Regions from separate parts of the Mus musculus genome. Here regions 1 and 3 are each reported to be linked to region 2. The links are microRNA targets in miRTarBase. Many come from high-throughput screens and were not tested one by one. Region 2 holds a microRNA gene; each other region holds the end of a gene's coding sequence.
Evidence for each region. Region 2 holds the annotated microRNA mmu-miR-26a-5p (UUCAAGUAAUCCAGGAUAGGCU, at 4,468-4,489, shown strand). A microRNA usually pairs through its seed, bases 2 to 8, with sites in the 3' UTR of a target mRNA and lowers its output. Matches are read on the target gene's strand: a 7mer-m8 pairs with bases 2 to 8, a 7mer-A1 pairs with bases 2 to 7 and ends in A, and an 8mer does both.

Region 1: the mRNA of Ubn1 is a reported target of mmu-miR-26a-5p. Seed matches in the 3' UTR shown: 7mer-A1 at 5,728-5,734.
Region 3: the mRNA of Hip1 is a reported target of mmu-miR-26a-5p. The part of its 3' UTR that is shown has no 7-base or 8-base seed match.

Annotation. Positions count from the first base shown.
Region 1 is chr16:5,083,532-5,090,721 of GRCm38, reverse strand. Ubn1 (ubinuclein 1) reads right to left here. Exons shown (of 19, transcript NM_026666.4): 19 at 4,433-6,666. The coding sequence ends at 6,617. It overlaps Ppl (periplakin), which reads left to right. Exons shown (of 22, transcript NM_008909.2): 22 at 894-4,431. The coding sequence ends at 3,557. It also overlaps the pseudogene Gm52254. Among named protein-coding and RNA genes, the nearest start is that of Gm23483, 26 kb to the right of the region's middle.
Region 2 is chr10:126,991,076-126,998,265 of GRCm38, forward strand. Mir26a-2 (microRNA 26a-2) reads left to right here and starts at 4,455; the gene lies at 4,455-4,538. Ctdsp2 (CTD (carboxy-terminal domain, RNA polymerase II, polypeptide A) small phosphatase 2) reads left to right here. Exons shown (of 8, transcript NM_001113470.1): 2 at 456-601; 3 at 1,524-1,562; 4 at 1,933-2,034; 5 at 2,777-2,833; 6 at 4,780-4,872; 7 at 4,951-5,136; 8 at 5,286-7,190. The coding sequence ends at 5,411.
Region 3 is chr5:135,405,280-135,412,469 of GRCm38, forward strand. It overlaps Hip1 (huntingtin interacting protein 1), which reads right to left. Exons shown (of 31, transcript NM_146001.2): 31 at 1,239-5,990. The coding sequence ends at 5,938. Among named protein-coding and RNA genes, the nearest start is that of Pom121, 14 kb to the left of the region's middle.

The DNA.
Region 1 (7,190 bases), not on the chromosome of region 2:
AAAAGCAATCACCTGGTGCTTCACCAAAACATATACCTAAAAAAAAAAAAAAAAAAATGTCTCCAAGGACAACAGACATCCCCTAGGGACAGGGCAGAGATGGGAAACTGGTGTCACTTCAGACTCCTCTGTGCCTACAAAACATTTTGCCTTATTCAATTTTTAAAAGCTTTAAAAAGTAACCCTAGAGCATTAGTGGAGGGAGACCCCAGAAGATCAGCCCATCCTGGTCTGGGTGATCAGACCTGTATCTATCTTCTCTCTCTCTCTCTCTCTCTTTTCTCTCTCTCTCTCTCTCTCTCTCTCACCATTTTATTTGCTTCAAATTAATGAATTTCTAAGTCAGGTTCAGGTAACACTGAAGGCCTTTATGAGGAGTTTATATTGTCTAGACCCAAGATATGCTGCAAACACAGTCTGATCAAGTAAAGTAGGAAATAACATTTTTCTAAAGACAGGCTTAGAAGCTGAAATCCAGTAATTGAAGATGTTTCCTCTCTGTGGCAGTGAGCTTGATTCATACCTGGCAGCAAGGCCCCATTCAGGGTATAGCCAAAAGGGCAGGGTACAGACCACCCAGAACAAAACCAACTAGTGCGCCCCATGTTGTGGTACAGGGTTCACAGTTCAAATCACCTGTCTGACTCTGGAAGTTGTTTAGTTTTTCTGGACATGATATTAAATATTAAATCATCTTTGCTAGTAATTGGTTTCCAACTTTCCATCTTGGACCACTCGGCAGAATGATGGCAGCTTATGGCTGCCTCCCCAGCTGCCTGTGCTTGCCCAGGTCCTCCCGTGCCCAAGTCTACCACAACCTTCACTAGGGTTGCCTGGGCTCCACCTCATCTGTTTGTTTCTTAACCATGCATTCGTTGTCTTTTCTGCCACAGCAACCAGAAGCAGGAGTGACCCATGAGACCCTACAAGGGGGAAAGCTAAGCTCTGGCATGGAGGAAACATGGAAGATTAAGAAGGAACTGGAGGAGGAGATAGAGCGAAGGCAACAGCTGGAAAATGAGGTCAAGAGTGCCCAGGAGGAAATCCAGACCCTGAAGGATCAGGGGCCTCAGGAGTCATTGGTGAGGAAGGAGGTGCTGAAGAAGGTGCCAGACCCTGCCCTGGAGGAGAGCTTCCAGCAGCTGCAGCAGACGCTGGCTGAGGAACAGCACAAGAACCAGCTATTGCAGGAGGAGCTGGGAGCACTGCAGCTCCGGCTGCAGGCTCTAGAGCAGGAGACCAGGGATGGGGGACAGGAGTATGTGGTCAAGGAGGTCTTGCGCATTGAGCCAGACAGAGCCCAGGAGGATGAGGTCTTGCAGCTTCGGGAGGAGCTGGAGGCACTGCGGCGCCAGAAAGGCGCCCGAGAGGCTGAAGTGCTACTCTTACAGCAGCGTGTAGCAGCCCTGGCTGCTGAGAAGAGCAGGGTGCAGGAAAAGGTCACTGAGAGAGAGGTGGTAAAGCTACAGAATGACCCCCAACTGGAGGCAGAATACCGGAGGCTGCAGGAGGAGCACCAGCGGGAGGGCACACTCAGGGAGAAGCAGGAGGAGGAGCTGAGTTTCCTACAGGCTAAGCTCAGGAGACTGGAGAAAGAACGAGCCATGGCAGAAGGCAAGATCACTGTCAAAGAGGTGCTCAAGGTAGAGAAAGATGCAGCTGTGGAGAGAGAAGTCAATGACCTCACCCGCCAGTATGAGGACGAGGCTGCCAAGGCACGCTCTGGCCAGCGGGAGAAGACAGAACTTCTCAGAAAGATATGGGCCCTGGAAGAGGAAAATGCTAAGGTGGTGGTACAGGAGAAGGTCCGAGAGATCGTGCGGCCAGATCCCAAGGCAGAGAGTGAAGTGGCCAACCTCCGCCTGGAGCTGGTGGAGCAGGAGCGCAAATTCAGGGGTGCTGAGGAGCAGCTGAAGAGCTACCAGAGTGAGCTGGAGGCCCTACGGAACCGTGGACCACAGGTAGAAGTCAAAGAGGTGACCAAAGAGGTCATTAAATATACAACTGACCCAGAGACAGAGCAGGAACTCCAGAGGCTCAGGGAGGAGATCATGGACAAGACCAGGTTAATAGAAAGGTGTGACCTAGAGATTTACCAGCTGAAGCAGGAGATCCAGGCCCTTAAGGACACCAAGCCACAGGTGCAGACTAGAGAGGTAGTCCAGGAGATCCTGCAGTTCCAGGAAGACCCCCAAACCAAGAAGGAGGTAGAGTCTCTGCGTATACAGCTGTCAGAAGAACAGAAGAAACAGGTGGACCTGGAAGGGGAGCGGGCATCCCAGGAAGAGAAGATCAAACGCAAGGAGGAAGAGCTGGCACAGGGGAAGGAAAGGGTTGTACGCCAGGAGGTAGTACAGTATGAAGATGAGCCAGATTTGCGAGCTGAGGTGACTGCCTTCACAAACAGCATTGATGCTGAGCTGCGGCAGATTGATAAACTGCATGTGGAGCTACGGCGGTTACAGCATCGCCGAGCAGAGCTGGAGAGGCAGTTGGAGGAGCTGGAGCGGGAGAGGCAGGCACGTAGGGCAGCCGAGCTGGAGGTACAGAGGCTGCAACAGCGGCTGGCTGCATTGGAGCAGGAGGAGGCCAAGACTGGTGAGAAGGTGACCCACACACAAAAGGTGGTGCTGCAGCAGGACCCACAGCAGACCAGGGAGCATGCCCTGCTCCGAGCCCAGCTGGAGGAAGAGCGGCACCGGAGGCAGCTACTGGAGGGTGAGCTTGAGCCGCTGCGTAGAAAGTTGGCTGCCCTGGAGAAGGCAGAGATCAAAGAAAAGGTGGTCTTCTCTGAGAGTGTCCAGGTAGAAAAAGGTGACACTGAGCAAGAGATCCAGCGCCTCAAGAAGAGCCTGGAAGAGGAGAGCCAGAGCAAGAGGGAGCTGGATTCAGAGGTGACCCGGCTAGAAGCCAAGTTATCTGAGCTAGAATTCTATAATTCCAAGTCATCCAAGGAACTGGACTTCCTGAGAGAAGAAAACCACAAGCTACAGCTAGAGCGGCAAAACCTGCAGCTAGAGACCCGGAGACTCCAATCAGAGATTGAGATGGCAGCAACAGAAACTCGAGATCTGAAGAACATAACCACGATAGACTCTGGGACCCACCTAAACTCTAGGCTGTGGTCCCTAGAGAAGGAACTGGATGACCTCAAGAAGATGTCCAAGGACAAGGATCTGGAGATCGATGAACTACAGAGGCGCCTGGGCTCTGTGGCTGTCAAGAGAGAGCAGAGGGAGAACCACCTGAGGCGCTCCATAGTGGTCATAGACCCTGACACAGGTCGTGAGCTGTCCCCAGAGGAGGCTCACCGGGCTGGGCTTATCGACTGGAAAATGTTTGTGAAGCTCAGAAGCCAGGAGTGCGACTGGGAGGAGATATCAGTGAAAGGTCCTAATGGGGAGTCATCAGTAATTCATGACAGGAAGTCAGGCAAGAAGTTCTCCATTGAGGACGCTCTTCAGAGTGGCAGGCTAACCGCTGCTCAATATGACCGCTATGTCAACAAGGATATGTCCATTCAGGAGCTGGCAGTCTTGGTGTCTGGGCAGAAGTAGGCCCAGCCCTTCTTCCTGGCTTTTCTTGGAGCTGGATTATCTTAAAGATGGAGATGGTTAACTCATTCTCAGCAACTTCCTGGGTGTCTTCTGCTCCCGAGCCTTCATATAGACTTCTGAGCTAAGTGTTTTATCCACATTGTATCAGGCTGCTTACAGTGCAGCTACTGTAATACCAGCAGACACTAGCTGGGTAGCATCTCTCAGCTCAGCCTCATCCAGTCTGAGTGAGTGACCTGCTCCCACCTCTGATGACTTAATAACCTTTCTGCCTCTTTCAACTCAACAAGACTGGTCCACTGGGGCTGCTGACCTTCCTTCTTGCCATTCCATTTTTCTGACTGGGATCAAACTATCAACAGTGCCTGCTCAGTAGTGACTTTTCTCATTGAACAGGGCTCTACACTAGAACATGTGTCCAGAATCCACAATGCCTGGCTCTTGGTGCTAGAATAACTAGCCAGGATGTGCCAGAAAGACAGGCACCAACAACAGTTTGCTAGTTCTGAAAAGATCTTAGTAATGGATGGTGTGCTAGCCTTACTTTCAGTGCCTTAGAAGTCTTCATCATTATCGCATTGGCATTTAGATATACAAAAGTTGATTGTTCACCAAACAAATTTCTGCTTCTCTGTATTTCATGTATTATGTAAGAAAATGGGAAGTGATAGGGAACTTTATGGCATGAAAATAAAAATCTGGTGGCTTGACTCTAACTCACAGCAAGTATGACTCCTTTACATATGAGCCTGAACCTTGGCTCTCAGCCACAATGGGCGGGCATTCCATGAACACCAGGGCTCCTATGTACTGAAGAATAATAAAATAAATAAAATATTGCAAATAAAATAGTAATGAAAAAATGAGGAAAGACATCTTGGAAACCTCAAAACAATTTATTGAGTTGCTTTATACAAGATTAACAATTTCCACACCACCCCCTAACACCAACATAGTTGCGGCACAAAAGCCCCTCTCACACCTAAGAAACGGCCACGCCTGGTTAAGTCTCAGAACCTTGCACCCACCAAAGAAACCCTTGCATCCCACTGAGCTTGCTCTACCTCCACCCTCTGCTGAAGCCGGGCCATAGGTCTCCCTGGCCATGGCTGTTAAAGTCATTCACTCGTTCATTACCACAAATAAAGCATAAACAAGGAAAAGAAATCTCATAAACTCCCCATCAAAGAAACATTTCCCTGAGGCAAGAGGCATCACTAGATTCCTAAAGATGAGGGCATCCTGCTCTAGCTGCACAAGCAGTGGCACATGGGGAGGAGGGAGCACCAAAGGGGTGGGGTGCTAGGGCCCGCTGTCTGACGGGCAGAGGAGCCTGGAGAGTTCCCACTGCTCAGCTTTGCTGGCGGCCTCAGCTTGGCTTAGAGCTCAGCTATACAAATCTCTTCTTTGGCTCTTTTTGCTACTACCTAAGACTATTCTGTAAACAAACTGGAAATCCAAGTTGCAAAAAAATATATGTAATAAAAGGATAAGGAGTCCACATGGCCAATGTGAAAACAATTGGTTCTTCCATACAAAAGGAGTCAGAGCAAAGGCCAGACCAAAGAGCTGACAAAGGTCCTGCTCCCAGTAAGGTGGAAAGGTGGCCACCTCCACAGGAATAGAGGGCTACTGAGCTCCATACCCTTGAGGCAGGAACCAAAAGCACACTTGACCCACCCTAGGGTGCATACCGAGAGTGCTGATCACCTCCCCAAATGTGGTCTGGCTAGGCAGTCAGCCAAACCCACTGCGAGGCAGATTTATAGGATAGGAAACAGCCCTCCGAGTCCATATGAAATAGCCACTGGGTAAGTGTGACAGCCTGATGATGGAAGCTCTGTAGTCAACTATCTCTGTCCTCTGTCTACTCTCCAGACCCTCTGGACATCCCTCCTAAGTCTACACAGAAGCTCGCTGTGCAGAGGACACCAGCACCCCAGACCTGTTCTCTGTGGCAGATGCTTCAGAGAGAACTGTCCTACAGCTCTGCCAGAGAGAGATTTCTAAGAGTAAGACAAAGTGGAATGTCTACCTGTAGCTTAGAACCCCTGGGCTCTCAGACACAGAGGGCTGAGGGGCTCCACTGTAGTCCACCTGCATCAACTCTACAAAAACAAATCAGAGCTGGGAACCTGGGATTTGGGGGGGCTTGGGGGCTCAGATGACTTTCAAGTCAAGACGGCACAGGTTATGGTGTGCAGTCATTAAAAAACCCAATTAAATAAAACTGTCTTAAATACAGACTAGCTTTAAAAAAAGATCTTCATCTCAGATCCATTCAGTGGGCTGAATGGATAGGTGTGAGTTGTCAAAGTCTGCTCCACCAAAAGGCACTGGAATTAAGTCTTCCTATAATGTGATGTGTGAAGAGCAGTCCCATTCTATCCAACGCATTCAATGGTAATGACGAAAACAGCCCAAGATAGGTGTCTTTAAAAATCCTACCACGATTGTTGAATCTATAAAGATCTTTTTCTCTATAAGAGCTTCATTGTCATGTTCTGAGGAGAAACTGGCCCCTACAAGGAGCACACATTATGTGTTCTTAGTATTTTGCAAGGTCCCCCACATGCGGCTCTGGCCTGGGTATTGTCCTCTTGAGTACACAGCCTGAGGATGGGACGGAATCACAACCATCCAGGGATTCTACTGTGGCCAGGAGACCCTGACCAGTAGGGAACTCCGAGACACACCAAATGCCAGGAGTTAGGCAGATCTAGAACCCAGTGGCCAACAGATCTGCCACAGGTACACATGTACACTATACTTCCCAACACAGTCTAGGTACACTTCCCAGCACAGAGCTGCCCCTTGATGTCGTCCAGCGACAAAGCCATGAGGCCTAGAGCACCAGGTCAGTAAGCGCTTTGTGAGCAGCAGAAGCTGCCTTGGTTGGAGGCCCATCTGAAGTGCTAAGAAGTGCTCCATTTCAAACTCACGCCTGCTCCAGAAGAAAAGCAGTGGGCATGAAGAGCACAGCAAATGTCTGTTATCAGAGACATACATGTTGGGCTTCCTCCTAGACCTATGTCATTCAGTTCCATCCTCCAAAGTGGTCACAATTTCCTCGGTACAACAGGCCCTTTACCATGAAGCTGTGAAGCATCTGGAAAAGAATAAGTGAAATCAGATCATTCTTTAAGTGCTCCAATTCCTTTTAGACAGCATAAACAAACTTCACAGGAAACAGAAGCAGCAATGTCCCCCGACAGCAGCTGTGTGCATTGCTACTTGCAGCATCCTGTGTCATGCATGAGCACCAGCACTTCTCAGGCAGGAGGCCATTGAGCCCGTTTACAGAACAGGCACTCTGCAACATGACGACCACACAGAATCCAGACAATGTTCATTCTCTTGCCATCAAAATGTACTCAGGTATCAGAGGTACAAAGACAAAGGTAAGCATCAAATCCACATGGAAGGGAAAGCAGAACGGAAGCAAGCCTCAGCTCACTGCTAGATAGAGTACTCCCTGACAGCCCTACAGAGCCCCACACTGTAGCACAGCTCAAAATGAAGTTCAGTCTGCTAGCCCATTTTGCATGGATGCTCTTCTGACTGCCCCATAGTTTTTCTCTTTCTCCTTGAGGTACTGGTAATGAGACAGGGCTTTATATATGCTAGGCAAGT
Region 2 (7,190 bases):
TCCAGGGTCTGGGGAAGCGACACTGATCTGAATCATGGCTCCACTGACTCCAGGGGACCGAGTTGCTCTCCTGTGTCAGGAGAACGTAGGGCCTCAGAAGCTCATTTTGATGGCAGTGTGCTGGTGCTGGGTCACAGAACACCCGGCCTACCTTGAGATCCCCTTGAGACCTGCCATAGCATGAAGAACGAAGCCTGGGCAGCTCAGATCTCCCCCAACCAGAGAGTGGGGTTCACTGTGTCCTCATGCAAGGGTGTGTGCACGCGCTCCATTGTCAGTGTGTATGGCTCTTTAGCAGGTGTGTGCTCTATATATGGTGTGTGTCACTCTCAGAGGCTGTTCAGCAGGTGTGTGCTGTACCCCTGCAGAACCTAGACTTGAGAGCGTATGGACATGTGGAGACTGACAGTATCCCTGTAGCTAATGCCTCCATCTGTCCTTCCTTTCTTCTCTAGGCCTAGTCTCCAAGTCCTCGCCTAAGAAACCCCGTGGCCGCAGCATCTTCAAGGCCCTCTTGTGCTGTTTCCACACACAGCATGTTGTCCAGTCCAGCTCTTCCACTGAGCTCACACACAAGGAGGAGGCCAACACCATCGCCAAGGTAGCAGCAGGATGGGGTGTGGTGCATATTCTGGCTTGGGCTAGTGTCGTGAAAGTCCCTGGCCCAGGGGCCCTTAACTCTTTGCCCTTAGTAGTCTGTCTCCTTCTTGATACTTATCATCTGTGGGGATGGCTGTCCAGACACTGCAGATTCCATGGCTCCGGAAAGGTGCCCTGCAGATGTGGAAAGTGAACCGCTTGTTAATTGTTGATAGTGGTGGGGTTGGAACTCAATTATCTGGCTGTGAAGCCTGTGGTTTTTATTGTCTTGTTTCCAGAACTGCCTCTGAGCCATAAAACTGCCAGGCTCTGAATAACCCAGCATTCAGGAGGCAGGTGGATCCCTCTGAGTTTAAGGCCAGCAAGTGTCAGGCCAGCCAGAGCTATGTAGTGAAACCCTGTTTCAAAACAAAGACAGCAACAAACAAAGACCCTACTAGCAATTTGTTGTTATGCTACTATGAACCACTTGTAAGTCAAAAGCAAAATGTAAAATCATATATTACCCTGGGGAAATACTAGCCCATTTTTGAAAGGTACATGCTCAGATAACATCTTAGGTTTTTGTAAGTTCTGGAATTTTAGATTTTTTTTTCAAGTCTCACATTAGGACATTAGTACTTCTTACAACATTTTTGGTGTTGTCCCTTTGTGACTCCACCCCCCTTCATATTCATGGGCACCTCAGTGTTTCCCGAGAGGGCAAGAGGTTAGCCCTGCAGGGAGGAGCTCAGACCTCAGTCCCTGAGAGCCATGTGTGGAGAGGCGGCTTCCCCTCCTGACCAGCTCCTCAGGAAGGCCGTGCTTGTCCTGTGGGGAGCGGTGGGTGGCTGGGTTCTCGGAGAGCAGATCACAGGCAGTGTTTTGCTTAGAAAGGCTGTAGTTGATAAATTAACACTTACCACATCCTTTGTCTCCCACAGTCCGATCTCCTCCAGTGTCTCCAGTACCAGTTTTATCAGGTTCGTTGAGGTGGCTGACCCTGTAGGCCCTGACTAGCCTGGCAGGCAGGCAGAGCAGTTACTCTCCTGTCCTGAGCACCTCCCCACTCTTTGTGCTGAGTATTTGCCAGGGCCCTGTAAAACTTTCGGGACAGGCACACACCCTCTTCCCATCTCTGCTGTCTACTCCCTACCATCCCAGAATGACACCAAATGTTCCCACAGCCTTAGTAGTCTTTAGACCCCGCTGCCTCTGCTCTCTGCTTTTAAGCAGGACCTTCCTGTGTTGATGACTGTCTGCAGGCAGCTTGGCTCTTCCCAGTGTTGTGCTGAGGGGCGATTGGGCTTACTTCTTGTTGGGCACAGCTCAGCAGCTTGGCTCTGCTTTTAGATCCCTGGGACCTGCCTGCTCCCCGAGGTGACAGAGCAAGATCAAGGCAGGATCTGCGTGGTCATTGACCTGGATGAGACCCTTGTGCACAGTTCCTTTAAGGTGAGTCAGCGTGGTACCCTTCCCTTGGGCCTGTGTGAGCCGCACAGCAGGGTCAGTAAGGTGAGCAGATGAACGTGGAAATGACAGGGACAGGACAGGCTGTCGGCCACCCTGGAGTCACAGATACCCAGAGGCCAAACTGAAGAGGTTAAGGCACACACACACACACACACACACACACACACACACACACACACCCCACCCTAAATGCTGTGTCTGTCTCGACTTACCGTGGAAAAAGTAGGTAAGCATTATCTGGTTTTCCTGACTGGTGCGTTTGTTAACTCAAGAAAGCCTTAAGTTGGGTGCAGAGGGAACTTCCACAATCCCTGTGCTTGGGAAACTGAGGCAGGGAAATCACAAGTTCCAGAATAACATGAGTTACCCAGTAAGAGCCAGTCAGTCTTGAAAGAGCCAGGCATGCATGCTTGTGTGCATAGCTCACGGAAACAGGAGATGAACACGGCTAGCCCAAAGAGCCAGGCATGCATGCCTGTGTGCATAGCTCATGAGAGCAGGAGGTGAAGGCTAGCCCAGACTATGTAGCAAGACCCCATCTCAAAAGCCCTGAAACTTACCTCAGGTAGAATTTGGTGGGTAGGATGGATGGGTGGATGAAGGAGAAGGGAAACCGGAAAATATGTGATACTTTTTGCCCTGTGCTGGCTAAGAACTGCTCAGTGGGCTGTCTCCAGGGGGTAGGGTTTCCTGTCTGCTGACACTGTGCACTTCTGCCTTCTAGCCGATCAACAATGCTGACTTCATAGTGCCTGTAGAGATTGAGGGGACCACGCACCAGGTGAGCTGTTTGCCAGCATACACCCTGCCTCAAAGGGAAACTGCCTCTCAACCTGTTTATCATCAGCTTCCATGTTTGTTGATGGCTTGTCTCCAGATCATCCACACTTCCCTCTAGCCAACACTCCTGTCTCTATGTAGTCAGGCTGTTTGCAAGAACTGTTGGCTTTTTTAAAAATATTTTTAAAGAATTATTTGTTTTATGTATATGAGTACACTTAACTGTATTCAGACACACCAGAAGAGGGCATTGGATTCCATTAGAGATGGTTGTGAGCCACCATGTGGTTGCTGGGATTTGAACTCAGGACCTCAGAAGAGCAGTCAATGCTCTTAACCACTGAGCCATCTCTCCAGCCCAGGATAGGGTCTCTTTATTTAATTCTAGCTGACTTGGACCTCACAGAGGGCTGGAGTTAATTAAAGGCCTTCACCATTGTGTGCAGCCCCTGGCATTTTCACATCATAGTCCTAGCCATCACTGTGGCTTTTTAAATGTGCATTACTGGTTTTGCCTGCGTGTGTGTCTGTGTGAGGGTGTCGAATCCCCTGGAACCAGAGTTACAGTTGTGAGCTGCCAGGGGTTGCTGGGAATTGAACCCAGCTCCTCAATGAAGAGCATATGCTGTCCAGCCCATGCAGTCCATGCTTAGACCAGGCGAGCCTTGCTCTGTGTGCAGGGCTGTTAGGATTTGCTCCTGTGCCCTCTGGTGAAGAGCTACTGAATGTGTCTTCCCTGGCCCAGGCCCCTCCTATGACACCTTTCTGACCTCTACACTGGTTTCTGTAAGTGCTCCATATGCATCTGTCAGAGTGGCAGAGTCCAGGCTCTGCCGTGTACACCCTGCTGCCTAGGGTTAAGGACCACGAGGCATTGGTGAGAGACCATGTGCCCAGAGGCATGCTGGTCGGCCCAGGGGAGGGCCGGAGACAGTGATGCAGACATCCTAGCAAGCATGAGACCTGTTTTCAGACTGAGAAAGTTCAGCTTGAGACTGTCCTGGGTTTGTCATCGTAGCCCTCTGCCCCTTTACGAACTTCTGTACAGAGCCTCGAAGCTGTGGCTCTTTACTCCACCCATCACCCCCTGCTGTCTAGTTGAGGAAATAGAAATGTACAGAATGTATGGGGCTCTGGCATGGGCAGAAGGGGCCTGAGTGAGAGGGCTGCCTGCCATGTGGATCTGAGGAGAGCCTGGGAGGAGAGCAATGCTTGGTGAGGAAGGGGCTTGTTTGTGAGGCTTAAGAAGTGGAAGGTGATGGATAGATCCATTTGCAGCTGCATGGAGGGTTCTGCTGCTAAATGGGAGGGCTCTGCTCAGTTGGTGCTGATGTGGGCTAGGAGGGACTGGGGTGGGCACACCCCCTGTGCTGCTTTAAGGAAGTGAGTGAGTGGGCCTAAGGAACACTTGTGCAGGCTGAAGTAAGAAAGAAAGAAGAAGCAGCAGATCATAGACTGGGTGGCGAGTTAGTTGAAGAACCTTTAAAAGCGAGCAAGTCCTCGAAGCTGGTGGTGTGCACACAAACCTACGAGGGTGTGTGTTTGAAGAAGTTTGTGGTTCTTGCCAGATGGGACCTACACAAGCCGTCCTGCTGGAATCCCGTACAGAAGGCTACTGTGGAGGCTGCGGCTGGATTCAAGTAATCCAGGATAGGCTGTGTCCGTCCATGAGGCCTGTTCTTGATTACTTGTTTCTGGAGGCAGCGCATGGTCTGCCCTCAATGAAGATGGCTCCTGGGAGTGCATTCCTTCCTGCCGGGTTAGGGTTGGGCCTGTTGAGGCAGCAGAAGCCTGGTAACATGGTAGAGCTGTCCATGGTGGGGCAGAGGTCTCAGTGTCTCGACCTGGGTATCTAGGCCTGCTTGCTTTTCTGTCAGTGCACAGGCAGAGCCGGTGCTGTGTCCTTGGCCTTGTGGGGTTCCTACAGCAATCCACTCTGTCTCCCAGGTATATGTGCTCAAGAGGCCTTACGTCGATGAGTTCCTGAGACGGATGGGGGAGCTCTTCGAATGTGTTCTCTTCACTGCCAGCTTGGCCAAGGTACCTGACTGCAGGAGGGGCAGAAGGCAGGGGAGAGCCAGCCCTCAGCCTAGGCTAAAGCTTCTCCTTCTTTTCCAGTATGCTGACCCTGTGACTGATCTCCTGGACCGGTGCGGGGTGTTCCGGGCCCGCCTGTTCCGAGAGGCTTGTGTGTTCCACCAGGGCTGCTATGTCAAGGACCTCAGCCGCCTGGGAAGGGACCTGAGGAAAACTGTCATCCTGGACAACTCCCCTGCATCTTACATCTTCCACCCAGAAAATGCAGTGAGTGCTCGCATCAGGGACTGGGGTGGCTGCAGGCTGGGCCCGTGGGCTTTATCAGAGGAGTCCACAACCCCTGTGTGGCCCAGCAGCCTCCAATGGCACTGGAAAGGAAAGGAAATATCAGATAATGTCACTTTTTCCTGCCCCAGGTGCCTGTGCAGTCCTGGTTTGATGACATGGCAGATACAGAGTTGCTGAACCTGATTCCAGTCTTCGAGGAGCTAAGTGGAACTGATGATGTCTACACCAGCCTTGGGCAGCTGCGGGCCCCTTAGCCTTCCTGCTCCAAGAAACGGCCATCCCAACAGGGGACTCTGCTACACTGTGCCTTTGTGGTCAGCCTCACTGACGGGGTCTGCAAGTAGCCAGGGCGTGTGGGACAAAAGCAGGTCACACGCAGAGCAGGAAATCAGACCAAGACCCAGAGCTCTCTGCACCCCGTGCTCAGTTCCCAGGTGGTTGTGTGGGTGTGTGTGCGTGCATGTGCCCGTCCGGTAAACTATGGTCCTGGGTGCCCAGTTGTGCAGTAGGGGGAGAAGCTGAAAGATAAGGACTCAACCCAAGTCATTTGTCTTCTTTCCTGCTATGCTGTGAGCTACTGAGCTTTACAGCCATGAAAACTATTGTAGGCTCCCTCGCCAAACCATGGCTTTCCCTCAGCATCAAGACCTGTGCCAAGGAGAAGGGAGAGGCCGGAGGCTGCTTTGGATGCCCAGACACACATCTTTCAGAAAACACAGAAACCTAGCCAGCAGCTGCAGACATGTTTGGGAATATGAGAGCATGTTCGCAGACCCACCAGGTTCTGTGTCCTATGGGCTACACCTGGCTCCAGCAAGAATGCCTGCCATGGGCACTTCTCTGTACCCGGGCTCCAGTGCCAGGCCAGCCTCTCACTCCCAAGCCATAGTCCTACTCCCATGGGAAAGGAGGTCTTCTCTCTGCCCTGGAGGAGGACATATAGCTGATTTCTGTTCTTTTAACTCTTAAAAATCTCTTTCTAAACTTGGAGTGGTTTATATTCGCCCGAGCTCCAGTCCTGGGCCTGAGGTTTGTGTGGGAAGCGCTGGGGTACAAAGAAAATGCAAATGTTCAATGCAAGATGTCTGTCTCCTTGCGTGTAGATCCCAAAAGTGCTCTTCAGGGGTTCTGTGCTAGCTGATGCAAGGACATTAGCTCCAAAGGCTGGGGAGGGCTTGGCTCTCCCTCTGTGTCTTCCTGGTGTCCCGCCCTGGCCAGCTCTCGTCTGCTCTCGCCTTTATCCTTCTCGGCTGCTGCTCTTCCTCTCCAGAGCCTTGGGAGAAGGACTTTCCCCGGTTGTACTTAATTGATTGGTTGTCCCAAGTGTTGCTCTTACTTGATTTGCCAAATGCCTCCTGCTTCTCGTTATAGGACTGAGTGAGGTCCTCATAGCTCTGTGCTCTGGGCAGCTCTGAGCTCTCAGCCCTGTTGCTTTCAATGTCAGTCACAGAGTGGAAGTTTCCCCAAAGTGGAAAGCTACCATTGGGAACACAAGGGGCCCCTGAGGGGCCTCCACCTCACTGCCTTAAGTGAGTCCCGCCCACTCCCTGCCTCCCTCCGAGGTGGGCGGGAGTTCCTACCCCATCTCTGCTTCCCCTGGAGGCCGGCCAGCGTTTGTGGGTTGGTTCAGGTGTGGTACCTCCCACTCAGGAGTCAATATTTTCAAATTTTTCTAGTTTCCACACACGAGGTCCTGCCTGGGGTTTGAGAAAGCCTGGTGGAGGAGTGTGGTGGTGTGAGTGGAGACTGGCTGGCATTCCTCCAGCACTCTGCAGACTTCTTCCTGGGCCCGAGGCTATGGAGCCTTGGCTTTCACTTCTGTGACAAACACATGCCATTTCCCCAGCCTCATTTGCTGGTGTCTGTAGGGTCCTCCCAAGGTGAGCTGAGGGCTGCAGGTGCTAGCCAGGAACATGGGAGCTTGACTGTGGCTTCAGGTCCAGACCCTGATCTCACTGGCATCCCAATACTGCAGGAGGGGTCTTCTCACAAAGCTCTGAGGGCTGGTCTTGACTAAGCAATAAGAGCCTCAG
Region 3 (7,190 bases), not on the chromosome of region 2:
TCCATCCCTCTTGTGAAGAGGTTTCCGGCTTCTTTTTTTTTTTTTTTTTTTTTAATATTTATTTATTTAATGTAAGTACACTGTAGTTGTCTTCAGATACTCCAGAAGAGGGCATCAGATTTCATTACGGATGGTTGTGAGCCACCATGTGGTTGCTGGGATTTGAACTCGGGACCTTTGGAAGAGCAGTCGGCGCTCTTAACCACTGAGCCATCTCACCAGCCCGGTTTCCGGCTTCTTGCATGTGAGCAACAAGTGAGTTCCCTGGCTTTTCAGTGTGCAGCCAGCCACTTGGGGATTGTGTGACCTCTGATGATGCAAGGCAATGCAATGAATGCCCCCTTCAGATATCTTTTCTGCACTTTGATCCCTCTCAGCCAACATGGACTTTTGCCATTCTTCACTAAACCCCCTGGCCCCATGCTAGGCGCTCACTGTTCCAACCGTGCTACACCCCGTTTTCTAGGATACTAAAGCAGAGAACCACTGTGCAGCCCAGACTACTCTCAGATGTATAATCCTCCTGCCTAAGGTTCCTAATGACGGGGTTACAGGTCTGCATTGCTATGGCCCTCCTTCCTCGACACCCCTATTGTTTGCAATGTTGCAAACAGAACCCACAGCTCTGCTTGGTAGGCAAGCGCTCCACCATTGAGCTACGCTTTCAGCTTACAAACCAATGTTTCTCTAATTAAGTAAATAAAAATTAGTTATTTTTAAATGTGTGCACATACTCGTCTGACTATACACCAGTGTGTGCAAGCAGCTACAGAAGCTAGTCTCAGTGACCCTGGAACTGGCCTTACAGGCAGGTGGGAGCTGCCTGCTGTGGGTCCTGGGAACCTATCCAGGTCCACAGGAAGAGCAGCAAGTTTTAAGTGCCAACCTTCTCTCCAGCCCCTCTGTTTTTTGTTTTGTTTTAAATATTTGCTAAAAAGAAAGGAGAAGGCAGAAGCAGGAGAACCTCTGAGTTCAAGGCCAAGCTGGTTTACAGAGCCAGTTTCAGAACATCCAGGGCCACACAGAGAGACCCTGTAAATGTATATGTCCTATGGGTATATGTGTGCACCTGAGTATATGTATGCATACCACATATATGCAGGAGCCTGAGGTCAGAAGAGGTTGTCAGATACCCCAGCACCAGAGTGAAGGATTGTGAAGTGTCATTCTGACCCCATGTATATCAAAATGGAAACAAGAAGCCGGAGCCCAACCCTCAAGAGCACTCTGATCAGCCCTTTATCACCAGAGTTCTCCACAGCCAGGCTGACATATTTATTGGAAAAAATTGAAACCACAGATGCAATGCATTATACAAAGAAAGATCTTCATTCCATAATAAAAGTCCTGTGAGGAGGAAACAAGAGCCAGTGGCTACCTGCTCTGGGAAGGTAGGCACCTTGTGAGAAGTGAAATTCACTTATAGGGACTACTCTAATGGAAAACAGTGGAAAAGGTTAGAAACAGAAGGGGGCGGGCATAAACAAACAAAAATCAGCCCCATCCCTGCACGGTTTGAGAGTTTGTTATAAGCTTGAGACATTTAGGTTATCACCAAGATTTAACCAGATTCCTCGGTTTGTCCCTAGAGTGGTAATCAAGTTTAACTTAGGGTCTTCAAACCTGAGGTAGTTGAGGGTCACCTGAAACACATGTCTGGAAGGTTCTATCCTCACAACTGGATCCAGTCACGTCTAACCCACCATTCCTGGCTCTGGCTCCTGGGAGGGGAAGCACTCCATTACTGCTTTGCTGGTCGTGGGTTTGGGCTGGACCTGGGAGTCAAATAGCTCTTCTGCGTCACTGTGAATGCCTGGCAAGTGCTGTCATGGTAGTTTCCAATGTTACAGTGTGGTCTCTGAGAACCTGAAAGGTGGAAAGAGGGCAAAGCCCCTCTCTTTGGAAGGCCAATGTAGGGGATCCAAGATGAAGATCGACCGAGCAGAGCTCATCCTTGTTGGAAGCCAACTTGGAAGATGATCAAAGATGGGAGAGAGAAAGCAAAGCCCACTCTGGTTGGAAGGCTACTACAGATGATCCAAGACGGCAGAGGGCAGGGCCACTCTTATTGGCAGGTTAATGTTGCGCCCATAGACTTGCTTTTCTAGCAAGGTCTCCAGAGATATGGAAAGGCAACCGGGAGTAACACATTGGTCAGCATTAAAATTCAGGGTCAAACAGTGCCAGGGACCCTTCTACAACTAAGTCACTGACCAAGAAGTAAAAACTCCCCCAGACACAGGATGAGGACCAATACCTCCGATGATGAGAGGCCATAGCACCCTAATGTGACCAGAATGATAAACACTTGTGACCCTGACTTACCACACCAGTTCTGAGACAGGGTGCCCTGCATGTGTTTGATTCTCCCAGGGCAAAACAGGAATCTGAGGATAGTGCTGGGGACAGTACTGCAATAAGCCAGTTAAATTAGAGCCTGATCTTTGTTTTTGAGACAAGGTCTTAGTATATAGCCCAGGCTAGACCTGAACTCACATTCCTCCTGCCTCGGATTCCCAAATGCTGGGATTATAGTTGTGCATTGACAAACCTGGCATAACTATTTAAATTCCTTTTTGAGCTATGACCTAACCCCACAGAAGTAGATCTCCTATGCACACACTTATGCTTAGCCTTGGAGGCACCAGGAAACTGCATTATCTAAATATAAGTCACAGCTGGATTTGAGTTTCTTCCTCACCCCACCCTAAGTCATTATTTTGTCAATTTTCTGCCTTTAAAGTTATTTTTTTTTTCAGGAGTTATTTTCTCTAAAAGTATGTGGGCACTTCTGCATGAACGCATGCAGCAGATGCCATTGGATCCCTTGAGGCTGGAGTTGAAGGCGGTCGTGGTCACATGTGGGTGCTGGGAGCTGATTTGGGGGTCCTCTGTAAGAGCGGGGAGTACTAACTGCTGAGCTACCTCTCCAGCCCCTCAGCTCCCTTGAGGATCTAGCTACACCCAAGGCAGCAGCCTTCAGTCTAAGCAGCCTGGGGGTGTGGGGAGGAAGGCTGTGAAGTTCCTTTTGAGCTGCTCCTCAAGTGACTTGCACCTGTTCTTTCTGCCTCATCTGCCCTTGCAAGTGTCCCATGTCCCTCTGCACTGGGTGGCACCTTGCAAACCAGATGGTGAGAGTTAGTTAGTTTGATGTAGGATCTGGAGGGCAGTACCACTAGCTGAGGTCTTTCTTCTTACCCACCTGGAGGACTTTATCACGAATACCCTTTCCAACCAAACAGAAGCAAGTTTTATAGCCCAAGTCATGCCACTAACACTTAAGAGTGCTTAGAACTGTAATCATATGGGTCAGACTTCTCCTTGCCTCAAATAAAAACTGCTTTGGTGAGAGGAAAAAACAAAAGAATTTCCAGCTTGGTTTGACCAGCCACCAGTTTAAAGACTCACGTTTAGGTAGTAGCAGAGCCAAAAAAATTATGGTCTCAACTGGGTGAGATAGCTTACACCTTTGATCCCAGCATTTAGGAGACAGAGGAAGGGGAACCCCTGTGACCTCAGGACAATAAGGTGGACAAAGCTAGTTGGAGGCCAGCCAGGACTATGCAGTAAGACCCTGTCTCTAAAAGCCAGTTATATAAATCTCTATACACAAACATATATAACCTGTTTTAATTTTTTTGTTTGTTTGTTTTTTGAGATAAGGTATGTAAATTCAGGATCTTCCTGCCTCGGTCTGCTGAGTGCCAAGGTTACAGGTGTGCGCTAGCCAGCCTGGCTGTAGAAGGACAGCTTCCGACTCGAGCTATTACAAAGTCCCGATGTGACATGAAGCAGGTAGGGACCCTTCTGTGCTGCTGCCTTACCTCGAGCTGGGGCTTTTCACTGTTTCACTCCCCAGGCAGATTTTATTGGTTTTTTAAAAATGATAGTGGCTTTTCATATGGGTTCGTCATTTATTCAGAAAACCCCCATCTATTGCTGTGTTTGATGTCATCTCAATGGGACATATGAGAGTGACTCTAGAGACAAGGACTCTATGGCCACCGTAGGAAAAGCTGACTGGCAGTGAACACATGGACCAGCTGCATTGGCACAAATGAGCCAACAATGCCACTCATCCATCGAGTGTTCTGGTCCTTGGACCCAAAAAACATTGTTCTGGCACCAGAATGGGCCCGTTTCTACTGCAGAAAACTCCTTCAGCCCAGTGTGGAGGTCACATGTCACAGCCATCATCTGGGTCTCTGGGAGGTTTTGGAGTGCCCACCGGGGACAGAGTGGGGGTGAGTGGGGCAGGAAGGAGGAGGTTGATTCACAGTGATCAAGCACTAGTCTCACAACCCATCACCCAGCGAAGCTGAGCTCTGCCCCATGGGGACAGGCTCAAAGAAGTGCTTGCTGGCTGCCACCTATGTGTTACTACAGATAAAGAAGCCACCACCCCCCTGGCCCACAAGGTCACTTAGATCAGGGGTCCATTAGGGAGTTGCAAAGTGCTGTCCCTGCTTGTGGCTAGGCGTGGTGCCCCCTGTCCCCATCCTGTCTGCATGGGAGCCAGAGTGGGTGGGTGGTGATGGGGACTGTGCTAGAGCCAGTGGTCCCCTTTCTCCTCTGCCCTGCTCCTCAGTGCTTTAAGGAACCTGCCTGCTTTGGAATCCAAGCCTGGAAATGCCCAGGGATGGCACGTTAGCTCTATGATGATCTGTGGAGATTGATAGCGGAGGGCACGCCTGTTTAGTTACCCTTGGTCCTGATTGCTCCAAGCATCTCTGGGGCATGTGCTGCATAAAGATTGTTAGTAATAAATATAAAGAGTCTTAAACCGAGCCAAGCTCGTTTCCTGATCCAGTGGGCCTATTGGGTAAGTAGCACACGGAACCATTGCTTTCTGGTTCAGTAGGATGCAGAAGCAGGCAGACGGAGAAGGAACCACTTCCGGTTCCTTTATATTTGTCCCTCTTGGGGCCTTGTCTAGGTTTGACAGGAGGTGACCCAAATGACATGGCACAGGAAGTTCGCTCTGGGGATGTAGTGTTGCTGTTCCACACCGGCTCCATTCTTGCAGGTGGTGGGTTGAGCCTGGTGACAGGAGCTCCTAAGAAAACGTCCCCTGAACAGCTGGGTCCCTGGCACCATCTGCTTTGTCTTCAACTCTGGTGCTCCCCGGCTTGTGATGGTGGACAGAGGCCTTGGGCTGGCATCCAGGTCAGAAAGTAAAGGCACTAGCTCAGCCTCAGCCTTCCAAGGAGAGCTGTCATCCTGGGGAGTAGCCTTGGCTGACGGAACTGCCGAGCTGGAGCACCAAAGCGTAGCCTGAGCCGCACCGGGGTGTGCTGGCGCTGTGGGGGGGCTTCCTCTCAGAAGGCTCAGAGCTCAGGGTCAGGCTGGGTGGGGGAGGAATCCTTTTTGGGAAAGTTGGTTGTGTGAAACTTTAAAAACGGGAAACCAAAAGACCCAAACGACCACCTATTAAGATGCAGTTAGAGGACCCATCGAACTGCCAAAAAGTGTAGTGTGGAGGCCAGCTGTCCCTTCGTGTTCTTTCCAACAGTGGAGTCGGACATCAGTCTGGGTTGGAATCCAGCGGAGTTTGGATGCTCACAAGTTTGTGCAAAGGACAAAATGCAAAGGACTGAGGAGGGGGAAAAAGAAAAGACGTAAGCTGTCCCCTCTCCAAGCTCCCAGTGACAAGAAGCCCCTCTAAGCCGGACATGGCCTGTGAGGAAGTGGCCATGTTGCTGTTTTTCTGTGGACCTGAGCTTGCTCGTGGCTGACCCTGGTCTGCCTGTGTGCCAGGGATATAGGGGAAGAGCCCATCATGCATGCAAACGGAGGTGGTGTCATGGGGAGACCCGATGGCCTTCAGCTTTTGTCACTGGAGAGGCCTACAAGGACCTGATGTGCCACAGTGGGGAGCGAGTGTCACAGAAGGGTAACAAGGATTTACATTCTGATGTGTGGGGTGTCGGCTTGGCTCTACTCTTTGTCCGGTATTGCTTCTTGGACAGTAGACGGTGATGCTTCTGTCCCTAGAAACAAAAACCAAACAGGTGACACAGAGCCTTGTGCATACGTGCCAATAGACTGTCGGCACGTGATCCTCTCCACCTCGTGACTGCCGTAAGTGTCCTTGACTGTGTTCAAGAATAATGTAAGGCTCACGACAACGAATATGTGCTTAGTCGGCAGGGTTTGCCAAATGCTATAACCAACAACGGTCTTCCCTGGGATGGACATAACCACTTTTGCCATGCAGAAAGCCACACATGGCAGCAGGCCATGGCAGGGCCTGGGTTGGGACAGAGCACAACTCTCAAGAGTCAGTATTCTCCTTCCACCTTAGGTTCAGGGACCAGACAGGTAATCAGAATTCACTGGAATATTCTAGTCAAGTGCTCTACTGCTAAGCTGTGTCCCAGCTCCCAAGTGGAGAATTCTAGGTCAGCATTGCACAGCCCAGCAATATCGCTAAGCACTGTTTTACTTCCCAGTTTTTTTTTTAAAGATTTATTTATTTATTATATGTAAGTACACTGTAGCTGTCTTCAGACATTCCAGAAGAGGGAGTCAGATCTCGTTATGGATGGTTGTGAACCACCATGTGGTTGCTGGGATTTGAACTCCAGACCTTCGGAAGAGCAGTCGGGTACTCTTACCAACTGAGCCATCTCACCAGCCCACTTCCCAGTTTTGAAAGAGTTTAAGTTGTTAGGTTGGCCCTGAATTCATTTTGTGGAAGTTTACAGCAAACTTTCAATGCTTCTTCTGTCTCAGACTCCAGAACAGTTGGGAGGAGAGACATGGGCCACCAGACCCAGCTCCAGGGCTGGTCTGAATATTCTTGCATCCCATTTCTCCAGGTAAGCCTGTTCACTTTTTGGCCAGTGTGGCCTTGTGTGTAGGTGGATATGTGTGTGCATACATTTGTGTGTGTGCGCGAGCGCATGTGCATACGGGCACGTGTGTGTGCATGTTGAAGGTGGTGGTAGTCCAGTGTTAAGGGCACTAGCTGCCCATCCAGAGGACCCGAGCTGGAGTCCCAGAGCCTACAAGGCGGCTCACAACTGTGCCCACACCCAGGGGAAAGCATCTTACTTATCAAAAAGGTTTATAAAATTCAATTTTTTTGGTTTGTTTTTGGCTATGTGATCTGGGGTGTTCTCCAATTTCTAGTCTTCCTGCCTCTGCCTCCCCTGTGCTAGGTTCAGAGGTGTGCACCACCCAGGCGA